Drosophila melanogaster: one gene and its partners. The protein of the gene in region 1 interacts with the protein of each later gene in a pairwise test. Each region holds a gene or a part of one and is shown in the gene's direction. Other genes may lie near its edges.

Evidence for each region.
Region 2: the proteins of Mst89B (region 1) and SdhBL interact in a two-hybrid assay, tested with the Drosophila melanogaster proteins (one large-scale study listed by BioGRID).
Region 3: the proteins of Mst89B (region 1) and Osi15 interact in a two-hybrid assay, tested with the Drosophila melanogaster proteins (one large-scale study listed by BioGRID).

The regions. Positions count from the first base shown.
Region 1 is NT_033777.3:16,265,201-16,273,205, forward strand, and holds Mst89B (Mst89B), read left to right. Parts: upstream 1-1,811; 5' UTR 1,812-1,895; coding exon 1,896-1,962; intron 1,963-2,022; coding exon 2,023-2,237; intron 2,238-2,312; coding exon 2,313-3,140; 3' UTR 3,141-3,233; downstream 3,234-8,005. Other genes in the region: asun (asunder), read left to right, coding at 1-723, 788-1,093, 1,154-1,346; Mat89Ba (maternal transcript 89Ba), read right to left, coding at 3,263-3,670, 3,737-4,140, 4,200-5,440, 5,497-5,607, 5,661-7,039, 7,096-7,134.
Region 2 is NC_004354.4:18,890,228-18,899,080, forward strand, and holds SdhBL (succinate dehydrogenase, subunit B (iron-sulfur)-like), read left to right. Parts: upstream 1-4,218; 5' UTR 4,219-4,434; coding exon 4,435-4,666; intron 4,667-4,797; coding exon 4,798-5,671; intron 5,672-5,727; coding exon 5,728-5,935; 3' UTR 5,936-6,354; downstream 6,355-8,853. Other genes in the region: Flacc (Fl(2)d-associated complex component), read right to left, coding at 1-254, 514-1,633, 1,816-2,458, 2,532-3,225.
Region 3 is NT_033777.3:6,296,986-6,305,514, forward strand, and holds Osi15 (osiris 15), read left to right. Parts: upstream 1-4,818; 5' UTR 4,819-4,927; coding exon 4,928-5,246; intron 5,247-5,806; coding exon 5,807-5,959; intron 5,960-6,017; coding exon 6,018-6,190; 3' UTR 6,191-6,668; downstream 6,669-8,529. Other genes in the region: Osi14 (osiris 14), read left to right, coding at 2,266-2,507, 2,974-3,179, 3,234-3,592; CG46396 (uncharacterized protein), read left to right, coding at 7,057-7,368; Osi16 (osiris 16), read left to right, coding at 8,285-8,529.

The DNA.
Region 1 (8,005 bases):
CGCCAACTCCAGCGCCAACTACGATGTGGAAATCCTGCACAGCCGAAGGGCCCACTCCATCACCTGTGGCCCAGATTTCAGTCTACCCACGAGCATCAAGCAAGGTGCCACATACGAAACAGTGACTCTTAAGTGGTGCACACCGCGCGGTTGCGGCTCTGCAGATCTACAGCCCTGTCTGGGTCAGTTCCTCGTGACACCGGTGGACGTCACCTCGCGGCCCAGTTCTTGCTTGATTAACTTTCTGCTTAACGGACGTTCAGTCTTGCTGGAAATGCCGCGCAAGACCGGCTCAAAGGCCACCAGCCATATGCTTTCTGCACGCGGTGGCGAGATCTTTGTGCACTCCCTGTGCATCACGCGCTCCTGCATGGATGAGGCTCCATCAATTACTGATGGCCCCGGAGGACGTGTCTCGGACTATCGCACCGCCGAACTTGGTCAACTGATCAAGATGTCGCGCGTGGTTCCGCTCAAGGTTAAGGATCCATCTGCTCCGCCCTTGACGCGCCGGTTGCCTCGCTACTTCCCCCTGACCACCAGCTCTTCGATTCTGTTCCATCTACAGCGACACATCAGTTGGCTTCCGCATTTTCTCCATCTTTTAGTGAAGGAAGACATGGATAAGCAGGACGAGGTGCGGTGCCAGCAGCACATTCACGAGCTGTACAAAAGCGCCTCGCGTGGCGATGTCCTACCATTTACCCACACCAATGGAGCAAGGTAAGCAATTTATAGATATCTTTTATATATTTTCAATTTTTTATATTTAATTAACTCATTTCAGACTAAAGCTTTCCAAGGCCAAAGACCAGTACCGCTTGCTGTACAGGGAACTGGAGCAATTAATTCAACTAAATGCCACCACAATGCACCATAAAAATCTGCTGGAAAGCCTACAGAGTTTGCGAGCCGCATACGGCGATGCCCCGCTGAAGTCGGAACCTGGAGCAAGTCTCCTGCGCACCTACACGGAATCCCCACTCTCTCCCGAACGGCTGGAGCCCATCAGTAGCGTCGGTGCTAGTGGCAGCAGCAGCTCCAATAGCCTTCTCAAGGCGAGCAAGCGTCGCATGTCTAGTTGTGGGCAAAGGTATGTCGTATGTATGTATTTCTTGATAGAGTCCTTAATTCGCGCAATATTTGTCCCCAGATCCCTGCTAGATATTATATCCTCAGCAGAGCGAAGCCAGTCCAACAAACGATTGGATTTCTCGGGACGCCTTTGCACTCCGTTGGGTCAAGTGGCCAAGCTGTATCCGGATTTTGGTACCAAGGACAAAGACACAGTTACGACGGGGGCCAGTATTACGCCCAATGTTAAGGAGGAATCCGTACGTAGTTAAAATGGCACGGAGAACGCCGAATTTAAGCTGGGACTGTAGTATATATATATATAAAAGAAACATAATCATTTCCTTAAACAATGCTTAGTGTACGGCTTAATAGGAATTAATTTGAATGTAAAATGAAGTATTTTTCTGAGTTTCGTATAATCGCTTCTTTAAGACTGGGACAACATTACTGTGGAAGACGACATTATAATTCCTCTATTTAAGCTGCCTCAAATTGGATTAGTTTATGATTCAAACTGTTTGTTTAACTTAAGAAAATATAAACATGGGCCAATGAGTTTTTTTTAACTTGTGATTGTGATCTTTGGCACGGTAATAAAAACGAAAAGTACCCAGAATATAATTATAAATAAAATTCGTTTATTTATTAAACGGATTTAACTATTGAATTTAAAATTTCGAAATTGTCAAATTGTCAAATTTGTGGCCAATCAAAATATCGTTTTCTCCTTTGGTGTTTTATAGAAAAAATTGTATTCAAACGCTAAATTCTCAGATCGAATTTGATAATATTTTCCAAAATTTGTGTAATCTTTGGCAATGGCGAACAATTTTAACACGAGAAAAGTGATGCAGGTAGCGGAGGAGGGGGCACCACCTGTTCACAGTGAGCATCGATATTGATTATTGTAATATGCAGAGTATTGACTAACTTTTCTTCGGTAAGTTCCCATAATGGTTGGCAATGAGATTATTGTGCTCACCCAGCAGGACATTCGTCGTGTGGAAGACACGCGAGTGATAAGCTACAGTCGTGTAGGACCCAACGGGCAGTTTCTTCCCTTGGATACTTCTTCGCCAGGTGCGGTTTATTTCCCCCCGCCAAACACCACGCACTTCTGCACTTTGGATGATCTTCTCCGCAATGCTTCTGACAAAAGGGTCTGTATGCGAATGGACATCGAAGAGGATGTGAACCCTGCAAAGTCGACCAATGATACATGTCTTTTTCTACAGGAAACCTCGAACCCGCTGAAGACAGTTGCAAGTGTGTCTACTCAATTGGTTTGGTCAAAGAAAAAGTCGGGATCTGAACACCGTTTACCACTTTGCTACGATGCCGGCACCTCGACATCCGGGTTGATGACAAACACTGGATGCCAGCACTGCCCCAAGTGCGAGACGCAGCACTCGAGCTGTCAAACTCAAATGTTTGCCAAAACGCAGACAACTGTGGAGCGCGAGATGCCTCGGAATGCGAGTTGCCAAACGAAGGACACCGCCACCCCAACTAGAACTTCTATTGTGAAGGCTCCACAGAATGTGGGTTGCCAAACTCAGAGCTGTCTCAGTGAAAATACCTATATGAAGAACGAGCCCGCTAACTCGAGATGCCAGGCTCAGCGCAACACAAACTCCACCGGGTGCGGTACATATAGCGACCTATTTGAAACGACCTCAGCAGAGTCTTACACATCAGCTGAATGTGATTACACTTCATCGGTGGAAAGCACCTGTCAGCACTGTAAGTCACAACCGACCTGCACGGATCAGACGTTGATAGTACCAATGCAACCTCAAGTTCAGTCGCCCGTACCACCACAGGAGCAGCCTTGCACATCTAGACATATCCGCTTTGATCTCTGCACCCAGGTTAATAACTTTGAACCTCATGTGGAACCTCATTTCTATAGAACGATACCGTTGGGCCAAAATCCCTATCCGCGAGCTCAAGTCTCCAAGCCATCAGTCTCCAAACATACGGGTTGGACGAATCTCAATCCTGATCACGAAATACTTCAGCAGGAGCTCAGTCAAAACGCGTCCATAAGTAAACATCAGTAATGCTATAGTTTTTATATCACCGTTTTTCGCGATTTCTTATGCTGCTATATGCCATTTTTTTTTAAACCAAAATTAAAGCTATTTTTTTAACTTAGTAACGGTTTAGCTACATATTTCTATAACTATTTCAAGACCTTAAGGGTTGAGCTTTTTATTAGGCGTTTCCTTTTGGGTAGTGCTTTTTTCCCGGTGCCCTTGCGTTGCCTATGCTTTTTCGGCTTTGGCTTCGACTCCTCCTCTGCCTTGTTGGCATCAAAGTACCGCATGGGCTTCTGATGCTCGCGCTGTTCCCGTTTGAGCTCCTCTGGTGTGGCGATGCGCAGGTAGAAATCTTTCAGTAAGAGTTTGAAGTCCTCGAGCAGTGTTTCCTTGAGAACTTGAACCTTTTTATTACCACAAGGACTGCATGCCTGCAGCTCTGTGACCTTAAATGGCTTTGCAGCGAATTCCGTTGGTGGCCGCCATACAATGCCCAGTTCCTTGCCTCCGTGCGGATTGTAAAAGAACGCAGCAAAGTCGGAGTATGCAGACTAGCGGAAAAAAGAAGGGAAATGAGAATTTTCAAATACAAAGCTGGCTGCTTTATAACATCTTACTCTTAGTAGTCCCACAATTCGAGCAATGTAATCTGATCCTGCGCGGGGCAAGCTAAAGTTTGGCTGGCTAAATGAAACAAATGGTGACCCCAGATCGTAGCTTAAGGAATTCGGCACGAGATCTGGCTTAAATTGGATAACCAGATCGTATCCCTCGTTGGAAGCTCGAAATAATTGGGCCGGCCGCACAAACCTCAGATCTTTCGACATCAGGCTGGTTTCAATAATCTCGAGCGCATGGCGGGCCAGTCGCGTCACATGTCCAAGCACCCGTTGACTGGGTGACTGATCCGAGGTCCACAATCGTCCGGCATGCTGCATATCGTAAGAGGTGGCCACAGCCAAAGGAGGATAACTTTGACGGTTGCTGCGGTAGTTGTGCTCCAGATCGGCAATTTGTTGTTCTTGAGAACGTAAAGTTGAATTATTTTATAACATTATGGAGTGGTAACAAAGAACTTACCCTGCCAGCTATTGTTGAAGTTTAGCAGGAAGAGTTCGCCATTAAAATCGCTATGGGAAAGCAGCTGCAGGAAACGTATGAATCCAGTTTGAGGTGCCGCTATGGACTGCGGTGCATACCGCTGCTGAAAGAGATGCGCCACCAGTAGCTCAGTAGCCATATCAGGCCACAAGCCATCGTCCAGCAGTTGTGTGGCCAGCCAGCGCTTGGCCAACAGCACAGTGGAACCAAATGCGCTGTAAGTTTGATGAAGCGAATGTAGAGCCCCACTTACTTTGGGTAGAATATAATGTTGACGCTCTAAGGAACGACTGGCTGCATTGTCTATATATGTAGTTATGCCACGCTCAGTAACTTCCTGCTTCAGCAGCGCCAGCTCCTTGTTGTGTGCCAGCTCTATAAGGAAGCAGTAACCTTGCTTGAGTACGAGCAGACCGTCGGCGGACATCACCCAATGAAGCCGGCACTGCGCTTCCAACTTTTCGCCAATTTCGATAAGAAATGCAGTTTTAAGAGCACGCAGTGCACCAAGTTCAGTGGGCCACTTGCCGCTTTGCCCGAGCTGGATTACCACACGCTGAATGCTGCTTGCCAGGATGCGGTTTTCTACCAGAAGCGCCTGTGGGAGAACGGGCTGCGGCTCGCAGTAGCGGAAAATGGGCGAGACGCCTGATATGGAGACTATCTCTAGAGGAAGATCATTCAGCCCGTGTAGTTGGCGTGCCAACTCATCATAGCAGCGGATGACGTGCGGACTAAGTGCCTCTGCGTCGGTATCTTGACCCAATGGCAGCTTGGTCTTTAGCTTATTGACCTTAAACCAAGGAGACAGCTGGTAGACTTGGTCCAACTCGCCGCCAATGTATTGTACTTCCTTGCTGTCCAGTTGTAGGTGATGCTCCAATAGATGCAGCACAATCTGGCGAACAATTAGTCGCTTCTTGGCGGGTGAATCCTGGGCGGTCCCCCAAACCACAGCTTCTGTGATGCTGCCATCCTGAAACCGACGTAGGTTTGATTTCTCTCCCCAGAACCGTCGGAATTCCTCAGCTCCCTCATGATCATCGTTGGCAGCAGGTCCTTTGTTTAACACCTGGTATGCGTGCTCTGGCTGAAGTATAAGGCCCAGTTGAATATACTTCCCAATAACGGGCGCTTTTTTTTCCACAGGCCAGGCGGCTGTCGCAGTTTCTAAGGGTAGTATGGAGTGGACACGTTCAGCAAGTCCCTTTTTAAGGAGCCTAAAGTTATGATTATTATTTCTTTGTAAGTTGCCTGTTTAGCTTAGTTAACTCACTCAGTCAGTAAATGTAGCAGCTGCGGGTAACCATAATTAGCAAAATCGTACTTAATTCGAGGATGCGAATGCAGTGTAAGCATTTGATTTATGCATGAATAATTGGAAATCCTGGGGAAAAATAAAGTTTATAATTGAAAAACTAACATTTTAGCTTCACATACTTTAAGATATTATCCACCCTGCTGTACAGTGGACACTTTTGCATAAAGATAAGCGGGAAACTGTTTAGCTTCATGTCGTTCAGTAGTTCCACCGCCAGTTTGGCCTCCTCTCGAACTCTCTGATACAGGTAAAGCGGAATATTTGCGCATAGATTATGCTGTCCAGTGAAGTCTATAAAGCAAACGTCATAGTGTTCGGCAAACTTGTTTAATTCTTCCGTTTGAATGGGAGCAACAGACAGGCTAATGCCTTTCGTCCAGTCCGTGTTCGCCAGTTGGTTCCATACAGTGCGTGCCACTTGGTAACTGCTGCTTGACTGATGCAGAATGCGCTGCGTATTTAGGTACACAATAAAAGCGGCTAAGATGTGGGCACCAAACCCACTGTAACCTATGTCCAGTTGCCTCTGACGCAACCATACTTTAAGGAGCAGCAGGCCGTCCTGAAAATTACGCCTGCTCTTAAAGGCCTTATCCAATTGAGCCTGGTTCTCGGACAAAGTTAGATCAAACAGTACGTTTGCGTTGTAGTGTTGGGTGGAGGGCAGCGGATCTTTCTCGTCCCATTCGTCACCGTAAAACGAGGGCCGAATATTGTTGTTCCAGGGAACAAATCTGCCTGGCTTAAAACTGCTTAATGGGGCAGTGATGAACAGACGCACTTGCAGGTGCTTGTTTACTTGCTTAGTAACTGGGATCAATTCCAGAACCGGCTTAAGCGGGTTGTTAGCATAGTAGTTGAAATTAAACTGATCTTCTGCATAATCTGGGGACTCCATCATCCTCTCCGTCACATAAGTAAGATACAAAGCTCGCTTCTGGTCATAGCGAAGGTTTAGGTAATCTTCTTTGTGCAGGGATTCTTTTGGCATCTCCAGGGCCACATCCACTACAATTTTGGGACCCAGCAAAGTGCCCGTGGCGGCGGCTCCGATCAGATAAGGTTCCCTGGTGGGCTTGGAGAAAACAAATCCGGTCGGCTTTTCAGAAAGCTTCATTGGAACTTCCAAGTGGGTACGCTCCATCAAGCCATCCTTTAGCTGTCGGGTAAAGGCCGTAAAGGATTCAAGCCAGTTTTCAATGAAATCTGTGTATTTCTGCTTTAACTGCAGCTCCTCCAGCATTTCCTTAACTTGAAGCTTAAAGAGATTGGAGTGGAAGAGATTTTGGGTGTCTCGTAGCTCCTTCATCTCCTCCAAAGTGGGCGGCTTTACATTCTTGGTACCTTCTCTCTGCTTGAAGTTGTTCTTCTTTGGTATGGCAGTGGATGGTGGGTCGCTCTTGGCGATTTTGGGTTTTGGTTCATCAAGGTCGCTGTGATCCCCGGCATGTGCAATTGCTTGGGTACCTGTTCGAGCAGCTCCCTTCGGAGAGCCCACCTAAACAAAGTATGTTATAGGCCAAATAGTTTCCATAAAGATCTAGACAATCTTACCAACTTTCCTGGCATGATGTTTCCCTGTACAAATCGCATATAATATAAAATTTATTTACTTGTTGGAGAGAGAGCTAAACTCGCACGTGTTGCAGATGCGGTATTTCAGAATTCGGTATTTCATTAGAGGTTTTTGTATGGTCACCCTAGAACTGGGCAGATTCGTTTTTTAGTCCCAAATCAGCCGCAAAAACAGTGTCGAACGTAATTATAATTAAAATATTGAAAAGGTTTTATACACTAAATAAATTAGAGCAAAATATATTGCATGGTACACAGTTGTTGAATAAGTTACAAATTTAGACAATGTGAAGTGTAAATGTCTATACCAATTGCCGAGAAATCCTTGGATCCAGGACCAATAAATAAGATAAAATTTATAATATTATAAAAACAAATTATCAGTTAAACGCGAAAGATATTACCGTGGGCCTATACAGTTTTAAAGAGTAGATAAACAAATTTACCGGCTAATTGGTTTCGCCAGCAACAGTATTTTAAACAGTATTTTTATTTCATAATTATGTTTAAACATCTTTTATGTAAAGAGGGCTTTAGGTAAGTTCTGTCTTTAGCACAAGTATATAAGTATCTGTTTAAAATAAACGGGAAAAGCTAATTAAATTATCCCATTTTTCTTTTACCAGTAATCAGCATTAAATCAGCCTAGAGTATTTCCCTCGTTTTTCTATACGGTCTTACTCCGTCTCTGTCCATGTATAAGCGTGTGTGTGTGTGTTTGCAGGCAGGGGAAAAAATCGCACCATTTTTCTCGTGCTCTCTTGCGTGCGTTTTTTGGTCTTTCGAGGATTGTTTCGTAGAAAATCAGTTAAACACAAGCCCAGCTTAATTTATAAAAAGTAGTGAACTAAGTTGTTATCCAGAAATCGACGAGCGCACAGTAGCAAAT
Region 2 (8,853 bases), on another chromosome or scaffold:
GGCAGCTCGTTCTTGGGCCGCACCTTGTCCGTCTTATTGAGAATATCGTCATCGCTGTCGCTAATCTCGCTCAGCTCACCCTCGACGGCGCTGGTGCGGATTAGCTCCTGTTTAACTGGATTGCCCTCGGAAGACAGCGACTGATTCAGGTTCAGGCTCTGGGTCGGCGAATCTTGGGCGCCCAGTTCAGGTGTGCCTGCGGAGTCCTCGGACGCATCTTCCTGCTTGATGCACACGGTATTTAGTTTGCTTACCTTAAACATCGAATGAGGATTACAATAAGAGAAATTTATTACTAATGGAAAGTTATGGTTTTACCATTTCCGCTGGACAAAATGACTACGTTATTGCACAACGGTTGGTGAACAATTGATTTCGAATGGATGAACGTTGCACTCAGCTAACATAAACACATTTATATAATTATAAACAAAGACGAAATCATTGCCGCCAAATGATATGATAGGCCGCATCCGATGTCTCTGCAGCGAAGTAAACGAAAATCAATCGCACCTGAGCCAGTATTCCGGGATTGGTGGTGGCGTTGGCGGCGCTTTGGGCCGCAGCCTTAGCCGCTGCCACTGCTGTGGTGGCCGCCGCCACAGCACTCGCCTGTGCGGCAGCATTTGGTTTGGCCGCGTTGAGGAGTGGATTCAGGAGTGGTGTCTGCGTCGGCGAGACCAGCGGTGCGTGCGTGTGCTTCTTGAGGAAAGTCGACGATCCGGGCAGTCCGCCGTCACGGGCGCCCAGTGCGGCGCCATCTCGGCCAGATCCATAAGGCAATCTCTTATGGGGAAATCCGCGTGAGTAACCACCAGGCGGTTGCACCGGCAACGTCATCAGCGGTGGCGGATGCGATCGGTAACCGGGCCGCTCGCCGTGATCGCCATGACCGTGGCCTCCGCGCCGGAATCCTCTGCCGGATCCTCGTTCGCCCCTCGGATGCACATGGTGGTGCGGTGAAGCTGGATGCGGATGCGATGGTGCTGGCGGCGCGTCATCGTTATCCCGCCAATCACCTCCAGAATTGGACGACTGCTGTTGCCAGCCGCGTGGCTTTTCCCGCTGATCGTGCTCCAACCAAGCGGGCTCGTTTTTGATAGATGGCCTATCGCCGCCAGCGCCTCCGCCTCCTGTGTCCGGTCGATCCTCACGATCGCGTTCGCGTTCCCGATCGCGCTCTCGTTCCCGCTCTCGCTCCCGCTCGTCCGCATCCCAGTCGGGCTCCGAAGCAGAATGGTGCTGCTGCTGCGAGGGAGGTCCTCCGCCCGCATGAGCTGGGGGTTTGCCCCGCTTGGGTCCGCCAACAAAGCCACCCGGTCGCCCAGGGGTTCCACTAGGTCCGCCTGGGCCGCCACCAGCTCCCTCCTCCTCCCACTCGCGTTCCCACTCCGGTCGGAAGTCGCCACGGGGTCCAATATTACGTTCCCTTTCGCGGTCACGTTCTCGTTCCCGATCACGCTCCCTGTCCCGGATTAGACGTTCCCGCTCGTCCGGATAGAGGGTGTCTTCCGTTTCGAGGTCACGGTACTCGCGTCCTTGCAGCTCTCGTTCCCGCAACTCGCGTGCCTCCAGCCAGGCTTCTCGTTCCCGCGAGGAATAGCGGGCATCTAGATAGGCGCGTTTGTAGGCTCTAAAATAAGGAATTCCCAAACAGCGGATTAGCTAATGCCGATTTCGTGGCCATAAACATTAATGAGAAAAGGTTCCCGTTCTGCTACCTAGTTAACTATGTTCTAGGTAACAGAAAAAAGTAACCAAAATGGTACAGTTTCAGCTTTTCGTGGAATAGTTAAGTGCAGAACCTAAACCTACCTCTCCCGCTCCTCCTCGGAGTACAGTTCCCGCGGATCCCGCAGTCTGGGTGCATAATGCTCAGGCATGGGACTGAGGTCCCTGCGCCGATACCTTCGCATCTCGTCGATCAGCCCGTGGCCGTGTCGTTCCTCCAGATACTCTTGCTCACGCTCGTAGGGATCCAACTCGCGCTTATCGCGGACATGACGCCCGCTCCGTTCGCGCTCTCGTTCCCTTTCGACGGTGTCCAGCGATCGCTCCCGGCTGCCATACGGCGGAAGATCCAAGTCTCGACCGGGACCACCGCGTTTACCACCTTCCTCTTCCTCCTGACGACGCAACTTTTCGCGAGCCAAGCGTTCCCGCTCCCGTTGACGTTCTTGGCAGCGAGCCAAGGCCTCAGCGCGCTCCTTATCCCTGGCTGCCTCCCGTTCCGCACGCTCGCGCTCCCGATCCCGACGATCTCGCTCCCGCAATGAGAGATCGTGGCGTTCGCGCTCTCTTTCTCGTTCTCGCTCGCGCTCCCTTTCCCGCTCCCGTTCCAGGGACGGAGTACGTCCACGTGCGCGGGTCTGGATGATGATCTTCTCTCGCGACATCAGTTGGTGATGCATTCGCGAGGATGAGCTGCTGCTGCCGCCTCCAAGACCAGAACCTAAACCTTAAAGTCAAGCAAAATTAATGGGTTAGTGGGTTGAGCCTAGACATAACTATATGTAGTATCTGATAGTTACCTGGACTCTTTTGCCGCTTACCCACGATGTCCTGATGGATGCGAATCTTGGTGGTGGTGGTAGTGCTGCTGCTCGGCGGACTCCTACTGCTGCCCAATCGATGATGGTCTCGCTCTCTGTCTCGTTGGACGACGCGCAGCTTGTCCCGCTCCCGTTGCTCCTTGCTGGCAGCCCGTAGCCTCTTTCGCTCGGCCAGCTTCTTTAGCTTGGCTCGCGTCGTCGGCGACAGGGAACGATGGACGTGACCACTGAGGGCGGCGGCCGCCCGTTTCTTAAGGCGCGCTTCCTTCAGTTTCCGTTTGATATGATTTCGCTTGGCCACCAGCTTCTTTTGCACATGATCCCGTTTGTCTCGCTTGCGGCGCGACGACGATGGTTCATCTCCGGACGAGCTGCCGCCGCGCCGTGAGCTCTTCTTTTTGCGATGATGACGCTCCGCGGAGCGCGGATGATGCCCATGGCCGTGGGTATGGGGATGACCGTGGACGCTGCCACTGCCGCCGGGACCACCGGCGCCACCAGGTACGCCCACCCCCACGCCGACGCCGCCCACGCCCTGCTCGCTGTCCGTGCTGCTGTACGAGCTGCTCCCGCTGTCGGAGTCCGAGGTGGAGTCCGAGCTGCTCGAGTGCGTCGCACTGTGACGGGCGGCCTTCTTGTAGCGGCGCAGCGACTCCTTGGCCTTCTTCTCCATCGCCGCGATCTCCGCTAGCCTGCGCGCCTCCGTTTTGGCTGCTTTCTTTTCGTACTCCGGTCGAAAATCAGCACGGCTATGCGGCTTATAACTAGTTGCAGCGTGTCTTGTGGTATAATGTCCTTGTTCGGAGGCGCGGACTTGCCTTGTTGTCTATTTTGTTGGCGTTTTCTTTAACTCTTCTTCTTCTCTATTTTCCTCTATATCTTCGTGTTTGTTGTTATCGATAGTCGATTGGCAGGGCATCGCGACCATCGATTACAGTCAGCACGGCGGTACATATCGATCGGTATAAGTTTGAAAATATTGTTTATTATTGTATCACATTATTATAATAAAATATAATTAAATAATTAAGTGCCTTTAACTATAAATAAATATTAATTTAACATTAAAAATATTATTAAAATTAATAATATTAATTAATACTTGTATTTATATTAATATATTGTATTTTTGTAACAATTTCTGCTTAAAATGAGTTCGGTTTTGGATTGAATTACAATTTCTATATCAATTTACCGGTTCAGCAACGGGGATTCAAATCTGACTTGTTATCCATTTTTATACCCGTTACTCGAAGAGTAAAAGGGTACCCTAAATTTGTTGAAAAGTATGTAGCAGTCAGAAGAAGGCGTTTCCGACCATGTACAGTATATATATTCTTGATCAGGAGTCGATCTAGTCATGTCCGTCTGTCCGCCATGTCCGTACCTAGAAGGTTGAGATCCAGCATACAGATTCTAGAGACAAAGACGTAGCGCAAGTTTGTTGATCTTTTTTCGCATTTTTATTAATCTTGTAAATTTCTATCGATTTGCCCAGAAAATGATAAAATTTCGCGTTCTCACATCCACTAGCTGAGTAACGGGTATCTTATAGTCGAGGAACTCTCTTTAGTTGATTTAAATTCCACGCATCCAAAACATTGTATAAAGCAGCCTGTTCTACTACTCAGTTAAACTGAACTTTTCATTTCGAAAAGATTTTCAAATCCAGCTGGCTATGCCTCTAGTGTCAAGTCGTATTACGGGCACTTCACCGGCTTCTCCTCAGTTTTGCTACACAGTTCGACACTTCAACACCTCAACACCTCAACACCTCATCGCCTCGGCACACATTCTCTCTCAACAAAAAAAAAAAAAAAACACATATATTTTTATAAGTACACATTTTAACTTAAAGTCTCATTCATTCGCTCGAAAACCGATGAATTTGTTGCGCCGGCAGCCTCGGCTGCTGAATAAACGGAGCACGTGGCTGTTTAGAAATTACGTGTTGGCCAACAGGGATGTGTCCGAACCCGTTTCCCGTCCTGCGGCGCCTATGTCCACCCTATCGATACCCGGACCAGCGCTGGCTGCCGCCACCCCAGTATCCGCCGTATCCCTGGTACCCCGGTGCACCCACTCCAGCCTCCAAGGAGGTGGACAAGGAGCAGGTTAGTTCTAAGTGAAAAGTTTTCTGATTCCACAATTTTCTGGGTTGTCAATGACTTTGTCATAATGACATTTCATAAATGACACCTGCACTTATTGATATGCTTAACTGAAATTTCTATATTCATTAAAGGAGGAAGAGGGCTCAGAGGATCAGCCACCGGAGGATCAGCCGCCGGAGGAATCGCCACAAAACGACAGTACTCCGGAGGAGCAGCCCCCGCCGGAGCCGCCAAGCCGGGAGGAGCAGCCCCCGCCGGAGCCGCCAAGCCCGGAGGAGCAGCCCCCGCCGGAGCCGCCAAGCCTGGAGGAGCAGCTGCCGCCGCCGCCGGATCCGCCAAGCCCGGAGGAGCGTCCACCGGAAAGCCAGCTTCGGGCAACGCACCAGCAACGCCTCCACCTCCACCACCTCCTCCGCCTGCTAAATCTGCACCCCCAGTGAAAGCGAAGAAGCCGCGATTGAAGACCTTCGAGATCTACCGCTGGAAGCCCGGGGATCAGCCGCAGACGCAGACCTACGAGGTGGACCTGGAGCAGTGCGGCGCCATGGTGCTGGATGCCCTGATCAAGATCAAGAACGAGATGGACCCCACGCTGACCTTTAGGCGCTCCTGTCGCGAGGGCATCTGCGGCTCCTGCGCGATGAACATCAATGGAACAAACACCTTGGCCTGCGTGTCGTCCATCGACCAGAATGAGAGCAAGTGCTGCCGCATCTATCCACTGCCGCACCTGTATGTGGTGCGGGATTTGGTGCCGGACATGAGCCAGTTCTACGATCAGTACCGCTCCATCCAGCCGTGGCTGCAGCGCAAGGATCTGAAGCGGGAAGCTGGAACGGCACAGTATCTGCAGTCCGTGGACGATCGTCTGGTGCTGGACGGGCTGTACGAGTGCATCCTGTGCGCCTGCTGCCAGACCTCCTGTCCATCATACTGGTGGAACAGCAATAAGTATCTGGGTCCCGCCGTCCTCATGCAGGCCTATCGCTGGGTCATTGATTCCAGGTGAGTGAGGCCATGTTGCTGCCAGTTTCCCCAGTGTGCTAAGATTTGCTTTGCAGGGACGAGGCCACCGAGCAGCGACTGGACTTTCTCAAGGACCCCTGGAAGCTATACCGCTGCCACTCGATCATGAACTGCACCAACACGTGCCCCAAGCACCTCAATCCGGCTAGAGCCATCATTCAGCTGAAGCAGCTGCTTGTGGGACTGAAGAAGAAGGGAAAACCACAACTCAAGACCGACGCCCTTTTCGCGGGAAAGGCGTAGGAGGACAACGAAATATCGACATAACGCCATGGGACTTAATAGATATAGATATAGATATACATATGTAGCTATAGTTATAGATATAGATATACATATGTAGCTATAGTTATAGATATAGATATACATATATAGATATACATATACATATACATATACACATATACAGATACATATACATATACATATACATATATAGATATAGATATAGATATAGATATAGATATAGATATAGATATAGATATAGATATAGATATAGATATAGATATAGATATAGTTATAGATATAGTAGGAATTAGGAATGCTATACTGTACACACTGGGCAATACACCGATACATCCTATTAACTACATTTTAACCAAGGACCTCATGGACTTTACGTTAGATAGGTGATAATAAAAGAAAATCGATGTGATTGAATCGAATATTCTGGGTAGACTTTCTAAAGAATGCTGCACAAGATCGTCTTCTATTAATTGATCAATTGAAAGACAATCTTTACAAATGCCATCATGGGTACAAAATAAAGAGATCATCGGGCAGATGGATTGCAGTTGGACAGATGAATCCAACTGATACCAAGAGCGCCTAGCATCTCCATTCCCCTCTTCGTAGATCCAGATCCCAATCCCTACCCCGATCCCGATCCCGATTCCGATTCCGTGTTTGTGTGCTATTTCTGCGCCGCTCGTTGCAATTAAGTGGGAAAATGCTGTTGCAATGTGGATGTTAATGCTCGTGTCTGCACCAGACGCATCCAAACAAATCACACATAAAGAATGGAATCGGATGAAATGAGCCACTTCCCACACTTGAAAAAATTACACGGTGTGCTTGAGCACGAAACTTTCTTAGTACATTATTTAAAGCAAACAAATTTATTGCCGTGCAGGCCAGGAGATTTGTTTTCCAATTGGCCTGGAGCAGGAGCAGGAGCAGGAGCATTGGAGGGCAGTGAATGAAGCCAACTGTGAAAACGGTCCAAACGTCTCGATGGGCATCTATAAATACGCCACCGCAAATCTTCCGCCGGGCAGAAGAATCGGAGACGGAGTCATTTCGAGTTCGGTATGGAATACTTCGATGTTGTTTTCTTTAAAAATAACAAGGCCCTACGAACTTGTCAGCAGCCGTCGCGAAAACGGGGGAAATGAAAGCAAGAAAAGCGGGAAATCTTGTCACGCTCTCATTTACACAACTTGCACTTTTCTTCTCGTTTTCTTCGGTTTTCTAATATACCCTTCCGACGAGTACTTCGCCTATCATGTATGTGCAAATTTACTTTACTATTTAGTTAAATGTATGGAGAACCTCTTTTGGAGGTCCTTCGGATTGTAGAAATATTTTAGCATACTTTTGTACACATTACTACGAGCTTTTTTATAGCCTCTTCTAATGTCATTTATATTTTTGAATGAAGTAGTGTATGGAAATCTTCGCCCTTTACCATTCGTCACTTAGGCTCGTATTTATTTCCTTGGGCTGTGCGACAACACTCAATCGCCTTGACACAAGCTGACAGGCACAAATCAGATGAAAAGCCTGCGGCAAGAGCTCCGGGAGATTAACCAAAGCCAGTTGATCCGCAGCTTCCCATTCTGCTGCCGCTGGAGAGAATCATCATCATTCTGGCCGATTCTCCAGAAGCTTAGGCCATCAGGAACCGCGTGGCGAGGAGACAATTAAAACGCAATTCCAGCAATGCGCCTGTTTGCACCTGCCGTCCAGATATCAGCGACAAACGACATTGTCAACAGCGAGCCAGTCGAGCACGATGATTACACTAGTCAGCAAAGCAAAAGATATTCGATATAAAGCCTTATCTTCAAGGGCTATTATCTTAAGGTATAATGATCGGTTATGGCTCGAAAAAATATGTTTAAAAGTAGCTCTTCTGATTTTTAAATTAAATAAATGAAATAGTTGATGCAACTATTAAACTTTGGTAAAATATCACACTTGATATTTGTATTTAAATAAAGTAAGTACAACTATATGATTGACCAAAGTTCCTGTTTGGTTGTGCAGTGCCCTTAAAAATAAATACGTCTCACACATGCAGACTCCGAAATACTTGGAGCAAATTATGTTGGACTAAAGTCCCTGGCTCCTCCTTTGTCGCATTTCCAAGGTGTCGAGGCCGCTGACAATGTGGAGCATTCCCCCAAACCCCAGCAACTCACAATTTAAGCTGTTAAGCCGCCGCTGACGGCTGACAGGTGGCAAGGGGAATCGGAATCGAAGCATCCGAGTGCCGAGAAACAGGCATTTTCCAGGCACATTTCGTCATAGACGCGTGCTGGAATTAGCCGCGTGCGAAAGGGAGGGAGAGTCGGGCAGCGAAAGAGATAGGAAGCAGAGCCTGAACCAAAACGCAAGCAGACGCTTGATAATACCTAGATGCTAACTATCCCTAGCAATGCGAATAAAATGCCAGTTTAATTGACATGGTGACCCCGATTTGCAAATTTTTTCCAATCGGAGAAAGGTGATTTTCAAGTGATGTACTTTATAGAGTGGTCACATGTTAACTTAATATTATGTTGATTATTTATTAGCTTGGTGACCCCGATCCAGAATTTTTAGCTTGTTAATGATGACTACAGTGGCTTATCCTTTTCTCCTGAACGCATCTGTTGATTTGCCATTTAATTTAACAAATTCAACTCAAAAACGCTATGTTACAGCACTGCAGCATGGGAACGGTTTCCTGCTTCTTGATGGTTAATTTGATTGCAACGCTGTTGTTGCCATAGTTACAGATGATATAAAATCCACAAGATTTATGGCTTTTAAATTTCCATTCATGCCGGGAGCTGGCTGATTGTTGGCATCCAGAGACAAAAGCGGATGCACAAATCAATTGTCATTTGGCATGGAGTGTTGTCGACGAGAGTAAGTCACTTGTAAAATGAAGTTTT
Region 3 (8,529 bases), about 10 Mb from region 1:
GGATCGTGTATGAGCCAAGCCAATGGCATGTGGTTTATGATCATCTTCATCACCATGAATGAAATGCCGCAGTGCAATCTGGACTCTGGGGAACTATGCAAATTGGCGCAGCAAGTGAATCATGAGGCAAAATATGCCCAATAAAACATGCCTAGCACACTTTCTTTTTTTATTTTGGCCGCTTTTGGCCGTTTTACGCGGCTAAAACAATAACCGAAAATAAAGGCGCGTCACTCATACGCATCGTGTGACAAGCCGACGCCCGCGGCTGGTATGCCCAGCAACAATCAGCCGGCAATAACAATAACAATAAGCAAGACAAACACCAACGGAAAAACAACAATAGCGCAGCAAAAAGGCGGCCAACAACATTGAGGGCAGGCAACATTTAGTGTCGCATTTCGTTGTAATATAAATGAAAGTGAGTGAGGCCGTTTCTTCCCCTCCGCTGACTGGACTGCCTTTAATAAGCTGCTGCGGGACAATAAAAATACAAAATTTTGTTGCTGCCAAAAATTGAAGTTGTTTCGATTTTATAGAGATCTTTTGGAAACGCAAGATTTTACGATGCAATGCCGGCAGAGAAACTCGGCTAGCAACATTAATGGACACAATGCAGGCCGCGATAGCAGAACGTGACTGGGAAAATCATCGATGGCTGGATGGCTTGATGTCTGAATGGATGAATCATAAAATTCACACTGCCATTTGATGGGCTTTGCTTTGTATAAATGTCTCAGGTCGCTAGAGAAACTATATCGTTTGGGGAATTGAGTGCAGATTTAGTCTTAGATATAATACATTTGCGTGTTGCTTGCAGAATTCCAAAGAAGGCAACTGTTCAAATTCTGCCTGTCCATTCTCACACTTCCTTTAGGTTTTCATTGGAAATTGTTTTTGAGATATAGATAGTGAATTAATACTGATATGCCTGAAGGCATGCAAATGAAATTATCCTTGTCAACTGGAAAAATCGAATTGAATTCTAAGAAGTGCAATTTTTTCCTTACCTTTTTTAATATCTTGTTTTATGTAAATATACTAATTTCACATTCCTACCTTGGTTGTTGTTCATTCTCAGAATATGTGTGTATGTGCTTTAAAAATTAGCTCCTTTACGAATCGATAACATACAAGATAAAGGAAATGCTGTGTTAAGCACCTGCACTAAGGTTATTTATCATTCTGTTAGTGCAAATTCCTTTCAGCTTGTTATATAAATTCTCAATGACCTCCTTCTCCATCCACACAGCCCTTTTAACTTTCAATTATTACAACATAGACACATTAGCCACACAGTCCAGTTCAATCATCGAAGTGCTAAACACTATTTCACCATATCCCAACAATAAAAAAACAACTACGGCAAATAAGACTGACCCATTTAATGCCGGAGAAAGAGAAAAACACATTTTTGCGTTCATAAATGGGCTGCGTGAAATATACGGCAACCGGATCGGTTAAGAAGCGTCAGTAAATTAGCAAATATGTGACTTGGCCATTGCGAGAGTCTGATGAAAGCTGGGCGCAAACGTGAAGCCGAGGGCTCAGACCACCGGTAAACACCAGGGCCCCAGCTTCATTGAAGGCGTGTCCGTGGGGACCCAAAGCACCACTTTTTGGTTTCAATAATCTGAGACTTTTTAGGATTCAAGACAGCCCAAGGAATGCAGTTATAAGTGATACCGTGGACCACCCCGGTTATGTAAGCCAGCTGATTTTTGTCGCTGTGCAGACCTAAGCCAATGGGCCGACTGTTTACTCCAGGGCGCCCCTTTTTGGCCAATGGCCAAGACCAAGACCAAGTCCAAGTACGAGTTTCTCTCTCCGCGACGCCAACGTTGACGGATGACGACGTCGCCGGAGCGGCGCTGCCGAAAAAAAGGCAGACCGAAATGAACATGTTCACTTAACAAACAAGTTGACTTTGTTTCCCCGCCGTTCTCTAGATTTATGCGGCTGCGTCTGTGACTCTTTTTTTGGGCCCTGTCTCCAATTCGGAGTTCGCTCTTTTCGCGTCTTGGCCATAACTTCCGCCGTCTCTCGCCGGGCTTTATTTAATTTACTTTTGAATTGTTTTGTAATGCGCACCGACTGCGACGCCGACCGAGAGGCCCAATATATAAGGCTAGATGTCCGGAGACGCATACATCAAACTCATCTCAGCGCTCCCTCAGAAAAGCAGCAGCCCGAAGCCCAGAATTGAAACCCCGGATCAGCTATATTAGCAAGGATTAACCGCGTCTAAATACCAATCGATCGAAAATGAAAGTGTTTGCCATCGCTTGTGTGACCCTCTTGGCGGCCAGCTGCGTCTTTGCCGCGCCCAGTGTTCAAGACAACCAGGTCGAGGGCGACAATACCCTGGGCCGGGCCGCCCGGTATCTGGGCGCCTGTCTGGAGAGCGACGACATGGCCACCTGCCTGGCCGTCAAGGGCATCACCGCACTCAACCGCGCCGCCAGGAGCAACAACATCGAGCTGGCCAGTGGAGTCACCTTCCAGAGGTGTGTGTTTTTTAACAGTGAAAGTGCCTGGTTCTTGAAACAAAAACCAAATCGAAAGCGAAACTGTAACCAAAAGAAGAACGTGCCCGAGATGAAATCTTCAATCCGTGTTAGTTAAAGTAGTGATTGCATCACAAAAGTTGACTAGGAAAGATACTTAAAATGAAATTATGATATCAAGATATGTAGGCAATTAAAAATAAGTTTAGAGAAATTAGTTATTAGATAGTTATATTCTGATACCCATTTTTTATGGTCTTTATAGATTTAAATGGTGAGCCAAGGCTAAGGCTAAAAACACTTCATAATTAATGTTAATTATTATTGGAATTCTTACATAATTCCAAAAATTATGACAGTAAATTTAAAAGTGGTATAATAAGACATTAGAGGCATTCGGCATATAAGTTGTCATAAAAGTTAAGTAAATGTGAAAATGTATTTATAACTTACAATATCATTTTAGGGATCCCGCCAGTCCCGTTTCCCGCACGGGAAAATCGATGAGCGAGCAGGATGTCTATGCCGAGCTGCCCCAGAATGCCGATGAGCGTACTGGTCGTCTAGTGGATCTGGCCGTCTCTAGTGCCGCCGACTTCCTAAGCACCCACAACCTGGAGTTCAAGCTGCCCGCCGAGACCACCCAGCAGGTGGCTCGTGCCCTCGATGAAGGTGGGTTTTGACTTGGGATACGATAAAACATGGTTACCTAACATCCAATCACAGGCCGTGGCAAGATCAAGAAGATGCTGGGACCCGTGGCTCTGGCCATTGGCGCCAAGCTGTTCGCCGTCATTCCCCTGGTGCTCGGGTTTCTGGCCCTGCTGACCTTCAAGGCCGTGATCGTGGCCAAGCTGGCCTTCTTCCTGGCCATTCTGGTCGGCGGATCCCGCCTGCTGGGCGGATTCGGCAACAAGTTCGGAGGTAACTCCTTTGCCGGAGCCTACAACTCGAACGCATGGTCCGCACCCGCCAGCGCCGGCTGGAGCTCGGGAGCCTCCTCGTCCTATCCCTATGCCCGCAGCATCAGCGAGGATGGGTCCGATGCCCAGCAATTGGCCTACGCCGGCCAGCAGCAGCAGTAGAAGCGGCTGGGAGACAGCTCAAACAGATGTGCCTTCGTTTTGAAACCTTTAGCCTGTAGTAATTTATTCGAAATGTAATTAACTAATTTATTGACACACCACGCACACATCACCCGCAAGTCAAGTCGAATGTATGAATAAAACCAAGAGTATTGCACCCGAAAAAAATATAATCCGCAAATCCACGCACGTGGACAGTGCTCACCTGTGCCCAGAGACTTTCCCAGTTTCCCAGGGCTTAATTGAAATGCTGACAGACCCCAAAACAAATATGTGGAACTTTGCTCGCTGGGCGGCAACAAGTTTGCGGCTGGCAATTAAAACTTGTGGCAGGTTCTGTTTCTGAACACAAAAAAAAACCCAAAAGAACACAGAAAATGTTGAGAAAAAGAGCTGATAAGCTGGGGATTTAGTTTTTGGCAAGTTGGTGGCCTGCTCATAATTGGAGTTTCTAGTGGCCATGTGACGGCCGTTCGGCATGTTAATTGTTTGCCAGAAACTTTCTACTTATGCTCATAAAAGTGTCACTTTGCGATTGAAAAGAGATATATGCGGCGATGTGCTACAATTCAGCTTTCTTTCACAGGCAGATTTAGAAGCAATTGAAATAGAAAACAAGCCACGAACGACAGTTGACAAAGGGAGAATGAAATCGAAAGCGTTGAAAGCGCCAGAGTAACTAACTGGGCCAAATTGTGCATTAAGTCACCACCGGCGGGGCATACCAAATACGTGTGGGTCTCGCAGATCCACCACTATATTCTCCGCTCCATCGTGAGCCCTGATGGAGCTAATGGAGAGGAACAACCGGCCAAGAATCTGGCGCAGGCAATCCCAACACGTAGCACCGGCGACTCCATTGAATGCCAATTAGGATACGGATAACGGTCGAGCACCCGAAATCGGGCCACTTGCTTATATAAAATATATGTATGGTATATACAAAAAAATAATATTCAGCCGGCCGACCACTGGCCACTTCCCTTTCGTTGACATCGCGACGTGCGTGGAAATATGGTCAAGAAACTGCCGGCCAGGTAGCATACGCATATGCTTTGCATAAATTGCTTTTGGATTTTTGGTATTGCCGTTCGGTATTGTTATTGTTATTGCAGCGGCGAGCGGTGCGTTTTGGATTTTTGGCCTGCCACGCGATTTCTAGCCACAAAATTGGTCAATCGACGTCAAATCGAAATGGTATAAAACGCGGGGGCAGTGCATTCAATTAATCACAAAGCGATTCCCGTTCACATCGGCAGCACTCACCAGCTCCAGGCAGCCGTCCCACGGATTATAACCTACCCAAAGTCAAGACACCCCCAAGTGCTAATAAAAATGTGCGCGAAATTCGTATGTGTAGTGCTGCTGGCCAGCCTTGTGTGCGGTTCCATGGCCCTTCCCTCCCAGGACAACACCGAGCGGGACCTGGTCAACATGCTGAACCGCTTAGACAGCGAGGAGTCCGTCGCGCTGTTCGGCGGTCTGAGGATCGACCGGTCGGAGTCGGGCCGTAGCTTCGGTGCATCCAAGGCCGTCGAGTCCTTCGAGGACCGCGCCGAGCGCTACCTGGAGACCCACGAGCTAAACCTCTCCTTCTCCGGCGATGAGCAGGACGAGAACTCCGAGAACGAGTACACCGGACGCGCCATGGATGGTGAGTGATCTTGGTTTCCTTTATTTGAAAAACAGAATATAGTTTAATCCAAAGAAAAAAAAGCTATTTAAGCTACTTGCTTTTAAAGTTTTCATATTGCGTTGAATATCTTAGATACTTAATATTAGGTCAGAATTTAAAAATTTGTATGTTTTTGAGAGACATAAATCGATAGAATGGTAGTAAATACGTGAGTTGATAGCCAAAGAATTTTGAAATAATTTTAAACGAGTTATAAGTTACATTTTTATTAATTACTACAAAAACAGAGGCATTCGTGCGCATACGAGAATAGCTTTGGTAAACCGTCCTGGCTCTCAAGTCGTTCCTGTTCTGTACGGTAAACGAACACTTCAAAGTCTACTTACTAAGGCTAAACGTACTAAGGTCCACTCTGCTGTGCAGAAAGCCAACTGCCAAAAGCAAAACTACTAGCATACTCAGTTGTGCTGACGGGAAGCGAAGTGAAAGCTTTACCTCGACTGCCAGGCCTTGAATACTTTTAGGAGCATGGCTAAAACCCCGATTTCTCTTTACTTTCTCCCTCCCGGAATAAACAGAGTCCCGCAGCAAGCGCATGAAGAAGATGCTGCTGCCCCTTCTTTTGGCCCTGAAGCTGAAGAAGGCCGTCGTTGTCAAGATTATGTTCACCATCATCAAGTTCATCTCGCTGAAGGCTCTGGCCATCTCCTTCCTGGCCCTCATCCTGGCTGGTGAGTTTACTTTTAATGATCTCAGGAATAGCACTTTTTACCCACGTTTCCCGCACAGGTGCCACCTTCTTCAAGGATCTGTTGGCCAAGAAGAAGGAACACATCACCACTGCCTACATCACCGGCAGCCCGCTGAACGCCGACATCGTGCACTCCGACTGGAGCCGCAATGGTCAGGCAGGTGCCGCCGATCTGGCCTACAACCACTATGGTCTGGCCCAGCCCTTCTAAGCCGGAAAACACCCACCGATCCATCCATCCCACTCTGTACTAGCCTCTATCTTTCACCTGCTATATCTTATCCTACCAAAGCGTCTCCCTTCTTCAACTTCCCCCCACTTCATCACCATTTCCACAACCTATCCCTCTAAGACTTTCCTGAAGAATGGCCTAATTCGTAGTCAATAATTATTTAGTTACATTTAGTTAGTTAGCTGCGACATACCAAAAAAAATCACAAAAAAAGAGAACTATTGAAACGGTCCCTCGACTCTTGGCTAGCCCAAAGGACAATGCTTAAGGATACTACGGCCAATCAATGATTGCGCCATAATTATTGCACATTTCCCCATCCACATGTCTCTTGGCGGTCGTACATGTCACTCAGGTTCATCGAAAGCAACGAAGATTATGCCTGCTAAAGAGCTTACTTACTAAGTATTTATTCGTACAACTTAAAGCAATTGAATAAAAATGATTCATCAAATGCAAAACCATAGAATCTTTAAACTTTTTGCCCGAGTCGGAAACTTTGGAAATGTACAGGTATTATACTTTTAAAAAGGCAATGACTTGTATAATTTCCGGCTCAAAGCTTCCTTATTGAGTCTCAAAGGTATTTTCTGAAAAATCACTAGGAAGAGTGTGAGCATCAAGCTGGAAAGTGAAATTAGTGGCTTTTACTTAAACACTTTCCTTGAACCTCTTGCAAAAACAAATCCATTGAAGACACATTTCCACTTAATTATATTAGCAAAGTTGAGTTTGGGCCCGTGGCTTTCTTTGCGTCAACTTCCTAATTGATGTTTAATCAAATGTCCCACTTGGCGTTGGTATAAAAACACCACTCATGCTGACCAAAAGTCAACAGAATCAATATGAACGGCTTAAGCAACAAACTCATTGGCTGTCAGATTAAATTCGCCTTGATTGTTGGCCTTTTGGTATCCTTGGCCTGGGCACTTCCTGTCGAGGATGATGGAAAACCCCTCATAACTGAAGATGATGCTGTGAACACCGAGCAGCCAATCGAAGCTGCCCCTGTGGTTGAGGAAGTGGAAAATGTTGGACAGCTCCGATTCCCGCCTTTCAATAACAATGGAACCAAATTGTTCGAAAGATTTGGAGAAAAATTCAGGAACAAGTGGACCACAACTACAACCACAACGACACAGAGTACATCAGGATAAGCTTCATAAGAAAAATTAAAAGGATCAACACACAAAAGATTGTCACATACTTCACATAAATATTTATTTAAATTCATTTTATTATGCCCGAAATAACTTGTCTTATCTTTACAATAAAAATACAACGTATAAAAGCATATAAGAGTATGTTGAAAACAATATTTTTGTCAACAAAAATGTTTTAATAAAATTAAAAACACTGTTTTTAAGTGAGCACTGTAGTAGTCTAGTAGATTGCATAATCGTTCCAAGCACCCACTATAAGCTCAGATTGGGAAATAAGACACCTGCTAGGCAAAAAGCGAAAATCAAAAGTCGACCAACCAATTGGTCATTAGCACTGCATGTAATCTGAATATTAAACAGGTCGTTCTCGGCGTGGAAAGATAAATTTCTTCATGGCCAATACGAGGAAAGAAAGTAGCGAAACGACGCTGGGTCAGACACAAATGAAAATGAAGTAATAATTAACAATGAGTTGTTAGTTAGTCCCAGTTAGGCAGGCAAAATGTTGGGTCTTAATTTATGAAGGTCCGAGGCACGCGACGTTTATCAGGCACTTGTAATTACCTGAACTCCCGAGTCTGGGAGAGTTTTCTTCTCGGACTCTTGGGGAATTCATTGGCTGGAACTTTTGGTGACAGAATTAGCCGGCCGTTTCGCAAGACCGACCTCCGCTGGCGCAGAGGAAAGCGAAAGTGCCGCCCAGTTGGACGCAGCTGACTGACGCTGGGAAGAATTTCGACCACAAATCGTTTGAGTAATTAGAAAAGCACAAGGGCCCCAATACGGACGGAGTACGGTTTGGTGAAAGGGAAATGCGAATGGAAACCGTGGCAGCGGGTATAAAAGCGAAGGCCTTCAAATCGAGATGATGCAGACTCACAAACAGTCTCCATTGCAGTAGATAGCGAAGATGTTGCTGACCAAGACCGTGAAATATCTTTTTTACTTGGCCTTATTCGCCTTCATGTGCAAATATGCCACGGCTGCCAGTGTCCAGCCCACCGAAGTGCCTGCAGTTGCTCCGGAAACCATTAGAATACCCCAAAGGGCAGAGAGCCTTCTCAGTGGCTGTGAAGCATCTTCCTTCAGTTGGATGTGCCTCAAGATCGAGTTTGTCAAGATCATGGAAAAGCTTGCCGAACAGGAGGAACTAAA